Ovis aries: one gene and its partner. The protein of the gene in region 2 interacts with the protein of the main gene of each other region in a biochemical or structural test. Links are inferred from orthologs where the notes say so. Each region holds a gene or a part of one and is shown on either strand. Other genes may lie near its edges.

The links.
Region 1: the proteins of NFE2 (region 2) and MAFG form a complex in vitro, tested with the Homo sapiens proteins (2 studies listed by BioGRID and IntAct, with this or other methods). The link is inferred for Ovis aries from reciprocal best matches to the Homo sapiens genes NFE2 and MAFG.

Annotation. Positions count from the first base shown.
Region 1 is NC_056064.1:50,464,950-50,469,320, reverse strand, and holds the start of MAFG (transcription factor MafG), read right to left. Parts: upstream 2,801-4,371; 5' UTR 481-2,800; coding exon 359-480; intron 1-358. UniProt on the Homo sapiens protein: Since they lack a putative transactivation domain, the small Mafs behave as transcriptional repressors when they dimerize among themselves.
Region 2 is NC_056056.1:132,256,548-132,260,979, forward strand, and holds the start of NFE2 (transcription factor NF-E2 45 kDa subunit), read left to right. Parts: upstream 1-1,355; 5' UTR 1,356-1,510; coding exon 1,511-1,524; intron 1,525-1,721; coding exon 1,722-1,890; intron 1,891-3,117; coding exon 3,118-4,128; 3' UTR 4,129-4,432. UniProt on the Homo sapiens protein: Component of the NF-E2 complex essential for regulating erythroid and megakaryocytic maturation and differentiation. Binds to the hypersensitive site 2 (HS2) of the beta-globin control region (LCR).

The DNA of each region.
Region 1 (4,371 bases), on a different chromosome or scaffold from region 2:
CTGACCCCCCAGGGGCCTGCTCAGCCCTTTCTGGCCAGTGACTGTTCTCTGGCAGGGAACAAAACTCAGAGGGCCCCCTCACCCACCCATTGGTCATCTTTTCTGCATCCTGCCCTCACTTTCTGCAGCCCTGCCTAGGACATTTCTCCCCACTGAGTCCTGGATTCCTGGCTCAGCTGGACCACTTCTGTCCCCTTGCTCCCTCTGTGACCTTCCAGGTTAGATGCAGGGAGGTAAATGGAGGCCTAACCAGGATTGTGGTGCCCTCCTGGAGAGGCTATGGAGCCACCGCTCTTCCAGAGCAGAGGGTGGGGCAGAGGAACCGGAGGTCACAAGGTCTTCAGGGCCCCATGCCTACCGCAGGAGCCAGGTCCTCCAGGTGGAGCCAGAAGGGCTCCCCGAGCCCTGAGTCCGGGTCCAGGGTCTGTCAGCGCGAAGGAAAAGCCCTGGCACCAGCTTTTCCCACACGCCATCCTCCATCCACCCCCCAACCCTCAAATGCTGAGCACATGGTGACTTCCTGAAGAGATCACACAGAAAAGTGCCGAGCGTGGCGGCTGGGAGCTGAAAAGTGCCTCCTCGGCAGATTTCACCCTCCACAGAAGCCCTGAACTCAGCACAAGTGTAGCCAATCGCCTCCTAATCAAAGGTGTGCCTGTGTGCTACTCGTGAGGGGGAGGGGCAGGTCTCAGCAAAGCAGGGGCTTCTGACCTCCTGGCCTGGTCTCCGCTACCCGAGGACTCTCACTACTGGGATGGAGACAGCTTTTGGGCATGGGCTGGGACTGATGGCTCAGGACCGTCAGTCCCAGCCCACCACAAGAAACCAGAGGGAGGGCATTTCAGAGGTTGGATCAAGGAGAACCTTTACCCTGCCTCTCATCTCTGCTTCCACTAAGGCTGAGCACACCTTGTGGAGAAGGCATGGGTGGTCCCAAGGGCAGGAACCCACCAAGGTACCCAGGGCCACTCATTCAAGGTGAGAGCCAGCCAGAAAGGGGAGAGAGCTCCATCCTCTTTCCCAGGTGTGGACAGCAGACAGGAGGCTAGTCGCCCCTGCTCCTTCTCCTGATCACAAACACCAGTGGCTAAACTGCCCTGGCAGGTGTGGCGTTGGTCACTCTGGCACCCTCACCTAGCCCACTGCACTCCCACCCTGCCCTTTAGACCAACCTTCTCCAGAAGCCCTTTGTAAAAAGTCTAAAACTTAATTTCCACCAGAGCATAAGTAGCTGAGAAGAATCTACATGTTCCTGGGGCATAGAATTTCAGCCAAAAGATCAGCTTAAGTGTTAAAACACCTGGCATCTATAAGCCCAGGGCTGGAGGGGAAGGACAAACCACAAGGTCAGCCTTGGCTAGCCATGAACCTCTGGGCAAGAGCAGTCAGCTCTGGTCTAGACAGAGTGCTCCCCTAACCCTGAAGACCAGGAACCACTCATACACCCAAGAAAAATAGTTCAGGCCACACCACCCTCAGGCTGTCACTCCCCAGGAGTCCCTACCACTGGCCTGATACCCAGAAGGGCCACGTTCTTTGCTAACCTGCACAGTACTGAGCCCCAACCTCAAGTGGAACCACTCTGGGGTGACGGGGATGCGTCAACTCCTGCCATCCACACCAGTCCACCCTCAAAGTTACCACCACTCAGACCCCAAGGCCAGGCTGTGAAGAAAGCCAAAGCCTGTTCACCAGACACCTCACTCCCCTCAAGTCTAAGTCCTTATGCTTCCTCTCCTTTGCCAATTTCCTGGTAAAGCTGCACTGACTTGCCCCGTGAACTGTCCACTGTCACCTAGGACTCAAGTACAGGCGCCCCTCCTTCTCCCACTGCCTCACGTCTTCCCACCTGAGACAGCTGGGCCTGGCCAACCACGCCAGCCACAGGGAAAGCCTACTTCCCAGCCCGCTAGGACGGCCCCCCCCAAGCTCCTCCCCTCTTCTCAGAACTATTTCCCAGTTTGGGGAACTGTCCCAGAGGCGGGTCAGGGACCAGCAGCCTGAGAAAAGCTTGCCTGGGAGGGGATGGACACACCAGGGGTTTCACCCTCTACCCCGGGATAACCTGCACCGTGACTGCTCCGTTTACTCCTCACCCTCCTATCGTAAACTCGTATCAGTCCAAACTTAAGCAGGCGCCCCAGCCTGGGGCCTGGCCCCTTCTAACTTCCCACGGTTTCCCTCTCACCCCTCGTTTCCCGGCCTCTCAGGCCCCTAGCTGAAATCCCCCCAGGCATTAGGACAAGCATCTAGTGACCTCATGCTGATGACTCAGCAAGTCTCCCTCTGGGCTCTGGCACGCGTGTGACGGAGTGAAGCCGGCGCGGGCAGGGTCTTCCCAGCCCGCCCCCCACGTGCCGCCTCCTGCCCCCGGCTTGCTAAAGACCCCGCGCCAGGGAAGCCTCGACACAGACACCTGATGAATCAGCAGCTCAGGCCGGGGCCGCCGAGCTCTTCCGCGGAGCCCTGGGCGCCCTGCTCGACCCCACCCTTTCCTCCCGCCACCCAGGCCGCCCCTCCCTCCAGGACGCCCGGCTTTACCTAGCCAGCCCAGAACAAGCCCCGCCCTGCCCCTGAGCGCCCCTGCGCCCACCCCATTACCCCCGGCTCAGAGGCCAGGAACTGCCCCTGACCGGTGGGGAAATCGAGGCATGGGCCGCCAGCAGGGCACAGGCAGACCCAAAGACCTAAGTACCCGGCCCGCGCCGCCGGGAGGAGCCGCAGCCCCGCGAGCACCCGTCCCCGGCCTGGAATCCCTGGCCACCCTCCGTCCGGCCCTAGCCGGGCCGCCGCCGCACTCACCCACCACACTGCGGGCCCGGCGGGCCGAGGCCGGGGCGGGGCGGGGCGGGCACTCCGAGGCCGCGCTGGGCTGGCCGAGCGAGTACTCTGGGCCCAGAGTAGGGGCTCGCCGCCTGCGCGGGCCGCGCCGAGCGCGCTGGGAAGGCCGGGCTGGACCAGGCTCGGGGCTCGGGATTCTTCGCCGCCGCCGCCGTCGCCACCGCCGCCACAGCCACCGCCGCCGCCGCTCCACAGACGTCACATGATGTTTGGTCACGTGGGCTCCATTCATGAAGCAGCGACGCGACCAGCTGGGGCTTAAAGGGGAAGGTGCGGCGGCGGCGGCGGCGGGGGCGGGGCACGCCTGCACTGCGCTTGCGCGCCCAGGCGCCGTCGCCTGGGCAACGCGCGCCGCGCCCGGTGGGTGAGGTCTCGCGGGACTGGCCCAGGAGCGCGCTCCCGGCCAGCCACGCCCCTTTCAAGGTGGGGTCTGGCTATCCTGCTCAAATAGTCTCCTGAGCCTTGTGTGCAGGACAATTCAAAGGCCACGTGTCCAGAGTGCAGGTGCGGATTAGAGGTCCCACGCATAACGGAGAAGATTCTCACGGTAGTTCTGATGCCGCCTGTCAGACTCTGCATGCACTGCCTCGATAACTGGAGCGGGCCTCAGCCCTGCCAGGAACGTTGGCCTGGCTCACAGAAGACCCATATACTCCCGGAGGTGAAGGGCTTGTCCAGGATTCAAAACTTAGGTCTGTCTGCCACTTCCAGCATCCTTCCAGTAGTGTAATCTGTCTTTACCCAACATCCTGAGACCTCACAAGGACTCAAGTGGTCCCTGGAACACGTCTGGCTCAGAGTGGGTGAGGGGTAAACATCTGTTGAATTAACAGTTGATGTAGGAATTGTACCTTTCCTTTCCTGTTTCATCAGCATCTGGCTGGAACTCAGGTCACCGGTCCATGTCTGCTCCTGAACTTTCTCTAAGTTCTCACGGCTCTTCAAAATTCCCAGAGAAAAAGGTGACAAAAGGCAGACGGGAAATTGAAGGGATCCAATTTCTACCTTGAAATTCTGGATTTACCTTCTTAAATGAAAAGCCAGGAAGGGGGACCTACCCTGCCAGGAAGGTCAGAGGGATCAGGTGAGCTGAAAGAAGGGTGAGTGAGAGGTTGCCTGTCCTCAGGGGAATTCAGTGCCACTGATGGAGGCCAACCCAGGAGGCCCCCAAAGCCAGGAGACAACAAGGTGTTAGCAGCTCTCTCTCCCAGACTCTAATTCCCTCAGAATCCCACAGGACCTTGTCACCTACTTTGCAGGGTTGCATGTGTTTGTCTTATCAGCCTGTCTGTGTTCTTTAAGGGCAAGGCGTGTCCCCTGTACTGGGTGTAGCCTGAGTCTCACAATGTACTAGACCACCAAGACTTGCCCCTGAGGCCAAGAAAGAGGTCTTGGACCTCTCGCATCCTCACCACCAGCTTCAGGCTCTTCTGTCCCTGCTCATACTTGCAGGGATTTCCACAGGTGTCACTTTTTGCAGGATACCAAACACTTCATAGCATTCTCCCCACATCACACCCTTTCTCAGGC
Region 2 (4,432 bases):
CATTAAATACCTGTGATGGGCCATCCTTGTGGTGATCTAAGGTCCTCCAACCCTATGCTCTGCCTGTCCTTCTCTAAGTCTCCCCCACTCACCCAGTCTGCCTGCCTTTACTTCTGCAGCAGATATAGGGTACAGTGCGTGGCCCTAAGAGAGCAGGGGGCCCCTGCCAAATCTGCTTGGAGTGTCTTGCCAAAGGCAGGGAGAACAGATGAGGGTGAGATGGGTGTCAGGGAATAGGGAGGTGGAGTGAGGAGAAAGGGTGACAGAAAGGAGAAGATGAAGGCAGGGCTGAGGGATTGCTGAGAATGTTGAACTGTCCAAGCAGAGAGGGAGGGACCTCCAAATTCAACTTGTCTCACTCCCTGGTTTTACAAATGAGGAAACAGAAGCTCAGAGAAAGGCGACGGCTTGCCCGACATCTTGCTGCTGCGCAGGTCTGCAACTCCAGCCCAGATCCAAAGCAAAGGGGCTGAAGGGGAGTGAGTATTCAAGTCTCTAAAGAAATATTCCCTAGAAGAGAAAAGAGGCCGAGATTCCACAGAAGGAGCTGACTGATGCTGACTACCAGTAGAGTCTCGGCGTAGCAAGACGTGGGAGCAGGACTGGGAAGGCACCTGGAAGATGGGACGGCAGGAGAGTCAGCAACTCTAAGCACCAGACCTGACTCTGCTATTTAGCAGCTTGAGTCTCAGATTCAGAATGGACCTTATAGGATCTTTGTGAAAATCAATCTCATAAATGAGTGCCTATAGACCCCCAGGCTCAGTTCTCAACAAATGCCAAGCAAGTCTTTGCTGTGGTTATTATATGACCTGGTTTGTGGGGTAGGGTATAGCCAAGAGGACCCTGCAGGACACAGGGCAGAGGTCCAGTGTCTCCAGAGACCATTCCTCCTCTGCTGCCTGCTGCTGATAAACCTCTTATCTGGCCCAGGCAGGGGAGCCCAGGACCAGGATAGGAGGCGAGGGCAGGGCTGCTATCAGCCAGCAGGCCCAGGGCCTATCTTAGAGAAAGGGAGGGGCTGTCTGCTTGGCTCTTCCCACAACACGCTCCTTGGGGATCCCCAAGCACTCACTCTCAACTTGGAAGGAAAAGACTGAGATCCTAAAACTGAGGGCAGAGGAGGAGAGCAGGAGTGATCCCTGAGGCTGCTGCAGGAGACAGGAAAAACAGAACCACCACCCTAGATGATGTGGCTTCTGTCCTGGCCTGTGATGCAGTCCTGAGGAGTTCAGCAGTAGGGGAAAGAGAAGGCATCTTATCTGAAAAGTAGAGCTCCCAGAGGAACTGCCTACAGCCATAGCAGGTGAGGTAGAGATAACACAGCAGAAAGAGGCTTTCTAGCTTAAGGAGTTGTTGATGAGTGCAGCATGGATGGGGGGATGAAGCGTCTCCTTCCCTCAGGGGAAGCTGGAGGGAGCTGCTCTGTGCATGCGTGCGTGTTCAGTCGCTCAGTCATGTCAGACTCTTGGTGACCCCATGGACTGTAGCCCGCCAGGCTCCTCTGTCCATGGGATTTTCCAGGCAAGAATACTGGAGTGGGTTGCCATTTATTCCTCCAGGGGATCTTCCCCACCCAGGGATCAAACCCAAGTCTCCTGCATTGGCGGGTGGATTCCTTACCACTGCGCCACCTGGGAAGCCCAGCTGCTCAATGAAGAAGGATAAAACTGCTGACCCGTGGCAGGAGAGGTCCTAACCTTTGTTTCTCTTTGATATAGGTTGCTGGGACCATCTGGGCTCTCGGGACCTTGGACCAGGCCCTGGCCCAGTAGGATGTCCCCGTGTCCTCCACAGCAGAGCAGGAACAGGGTAACACAGCTACCCATTCCGGAGCCAGGTGAGATGGAACTGACTTGGCAGGAGATCATGTCCATCACTGAGCTGCAGGTAAGCCAGGCAGTGGGGAACAAGGTGGTGGGGGGAGGGAAAAGCAGCGAAACAGGGAGTCTGGCTGGGATCGAGGCCCTGGGTGTGTGTGGCAGGGGGTGGCACTGGAGCAAGCAGAGCCCAGGGTCTCAAGATGGGAGATTTTCTGGACACTGTAAAAAGAAGGGCTGGAGTCGAAGAGATCTGGAGGGAAGGCCAGAGCGTTGAGGGGGAGGGGTGCGGATGAGCAAGAGATAGCAGTGGTGGGAAGGAAGGATCTGATTGGGGGTGCAAGCTCTCTGAGCAGCCACTCTGCTCACGGCTCTCTACCTCACCTCCTGCCCCGCCTTCCCTTCTTCCCTTCTTCACCTTCCTCTGTTCTGCCCTCTTCCAGTCCTGCCCGTCTTCATCCCTCATTTCCTTCCCCTGTCCTCAGCAGCTGGGCCCCTTTCCCTCAGGTAGCAGAGCTGTAGTTCAGGGGCCTCAGGAAGGTGGGGGTGGGGGTGGGGGGTCGGGCTATGCCGGGGTCCTTTCCTCCTGCTACCTGGACAAAGGGGTGTCTGTTGGCCTAACAATGATGCCTTTGTCCCCAGCTGGGCTGGAGCAGGATGGCTCCCCGATGTGGGTTGGGGGCCCTGTTCTCCTCAGCATGTTCTCTCCTCCTCTCTGCACCTGGGCAGGGACAGAGGGACTGGAGGGGAAAGGGCAGAGCTCACGGTGGCTCCCCGAAGTAACTCTCTGCCCCAGACCTGGCACTGTGCCCATGCCAGCCTGGGTCCTCAGGATCTGCCCTAAGCTCTCTTCCCACACAGCAGCTCCCTCTGCTGGGCACCCAGGGCATGGCCAGGGTCTGAACTTGACCCTTTGACCCTAGATAATGGCAGCAGGAAAAGGGTTCCAAGGGTCATCGTGGAGTGACTCCTTGTCTTCCTGAAGGAAATAAAGGGACAAGAGACATCTCAAGCCAGTAAGAACTTCTCCTGAAGAGGAGGGGATTCCACAACTGTTGTGGCGTTAGTCCTTTCTGAAGTCTGACTTCAGCGAGTGCCCTTCCTGTTTAAGCCGCTTTCTTCATGAACTTGCTCTGTCACAACTTTGCCAGAAGCTTTTAATGATTATTAGCAACTTTCTGTTCCCTTGTGATTATCTCACTAGTTCTTTCAGTGGGACTTAGATTGGTTCTGAGAGAGAGATGGTTTCTTCTCTTCCTCAGCCCGTCTACAAACCTCTTGGTGTCTTTTCTTGCAGGGTCTGAATGCTCCAAGTGAGCCATCATTCGAGCCCCCAGCCCCTGTCCCATACCCAGGGCCCCCGCCGCCTCCAAGTTACTGCCCCTGCTCTATCCACTCGGAGCCTGGCTTTCCCCTTCCTACACCACCTTATGAGCTCCCGGCACCCACGTCTCATGTCCCAGACCCTCCGTACTCCTATGGTAGCAACATGACTGTACCAGTCTCCAAGCCACTGACCCTCTCGGGCCTGCTCAGTGACCCCCTCCCAGACCCCTTGGCCCTCCTGGACATTGGGTTGTCAGCGGGGCCATCCAAGCCCCAAGAAGACCCAGAATCTGACTCAGGATTATCCCTCAACTATAGTGACGCTGAATCTCTTGAGTTGGAGGGGACGGAGGCTGGCCGGCGTCGCAGCGAGTATGTAGAGATGTACCCAGTGGAGTACCCCTACTCACTAATGCCCAACTCCTTGACCCACCCCAACTATGCCTTGCCACCTGCCGAGACCCCCTTAGCCTTAGAACCCTCCTCGGGCCCTGTGCGGGCCAAGCCCACTGCACGGGGGGAGGCGGGGAGTCGGGATGAGCGGCGGGCCCTGGCCATGAAGATCCCCTTCCCTACGGACAAGATTGTCAACCTGCCAGTAGACGACTTCAACGAGCTGCTGGCGCGGTACCCGCTGACAGAGAGCCAGCTGGCCCTGGTCCGGGACATCCGAAGGCGGGGCAAGAACAAGGTGGCCGCCCAGAACTGTCGCAAGAGAAAGCTGGAGACCATCGTGCAGCTGGAGCGGGAACTGGAGCGGCTGGGCAGCGAGCGGGAGCGGCTTCTCCGGGCCCGAGGCGAGGCCGACCGGACCCTGGAGGTCATGCGCCAACAGCTGACGGACCTGTACCGTGACATTTTCCAGCACTTGCGGGATGAAGCAGGCAACAGCTACTCCCCTGAAGAGTATGCGCTACACCAGGCTGCTGATGGGGCCATCTTCCTGGTGCCCCGGGGGACCAAGATGGAGGCCACAGACTGACCTGGCCGGAGGGGGTGGGACTGGTGATGGGGGTTTCCTTCATTCTCTTCTGATAAAGGTCCTCCCCATCCATGAGGCCCAGGGGGAGCTGAGTTCTGTAGACCAGGAGGGGACCACAGTGGGAAACCTGGCATTTGGAAGGTCCGAGGTGTGTTCAGTGAGGCTTGCCTGGAGGCAAGGATGTTGAGGGGAGGGCTGGAATCTCTCTTCAGTGGTTCAGTTTTCTAGGTCTCCAGTCTGGGTTGAGCTTTGGTATATAAAGCACTCTACGGAAATAGCCTTGTGCTGTGTCTTCTCTCTTGAG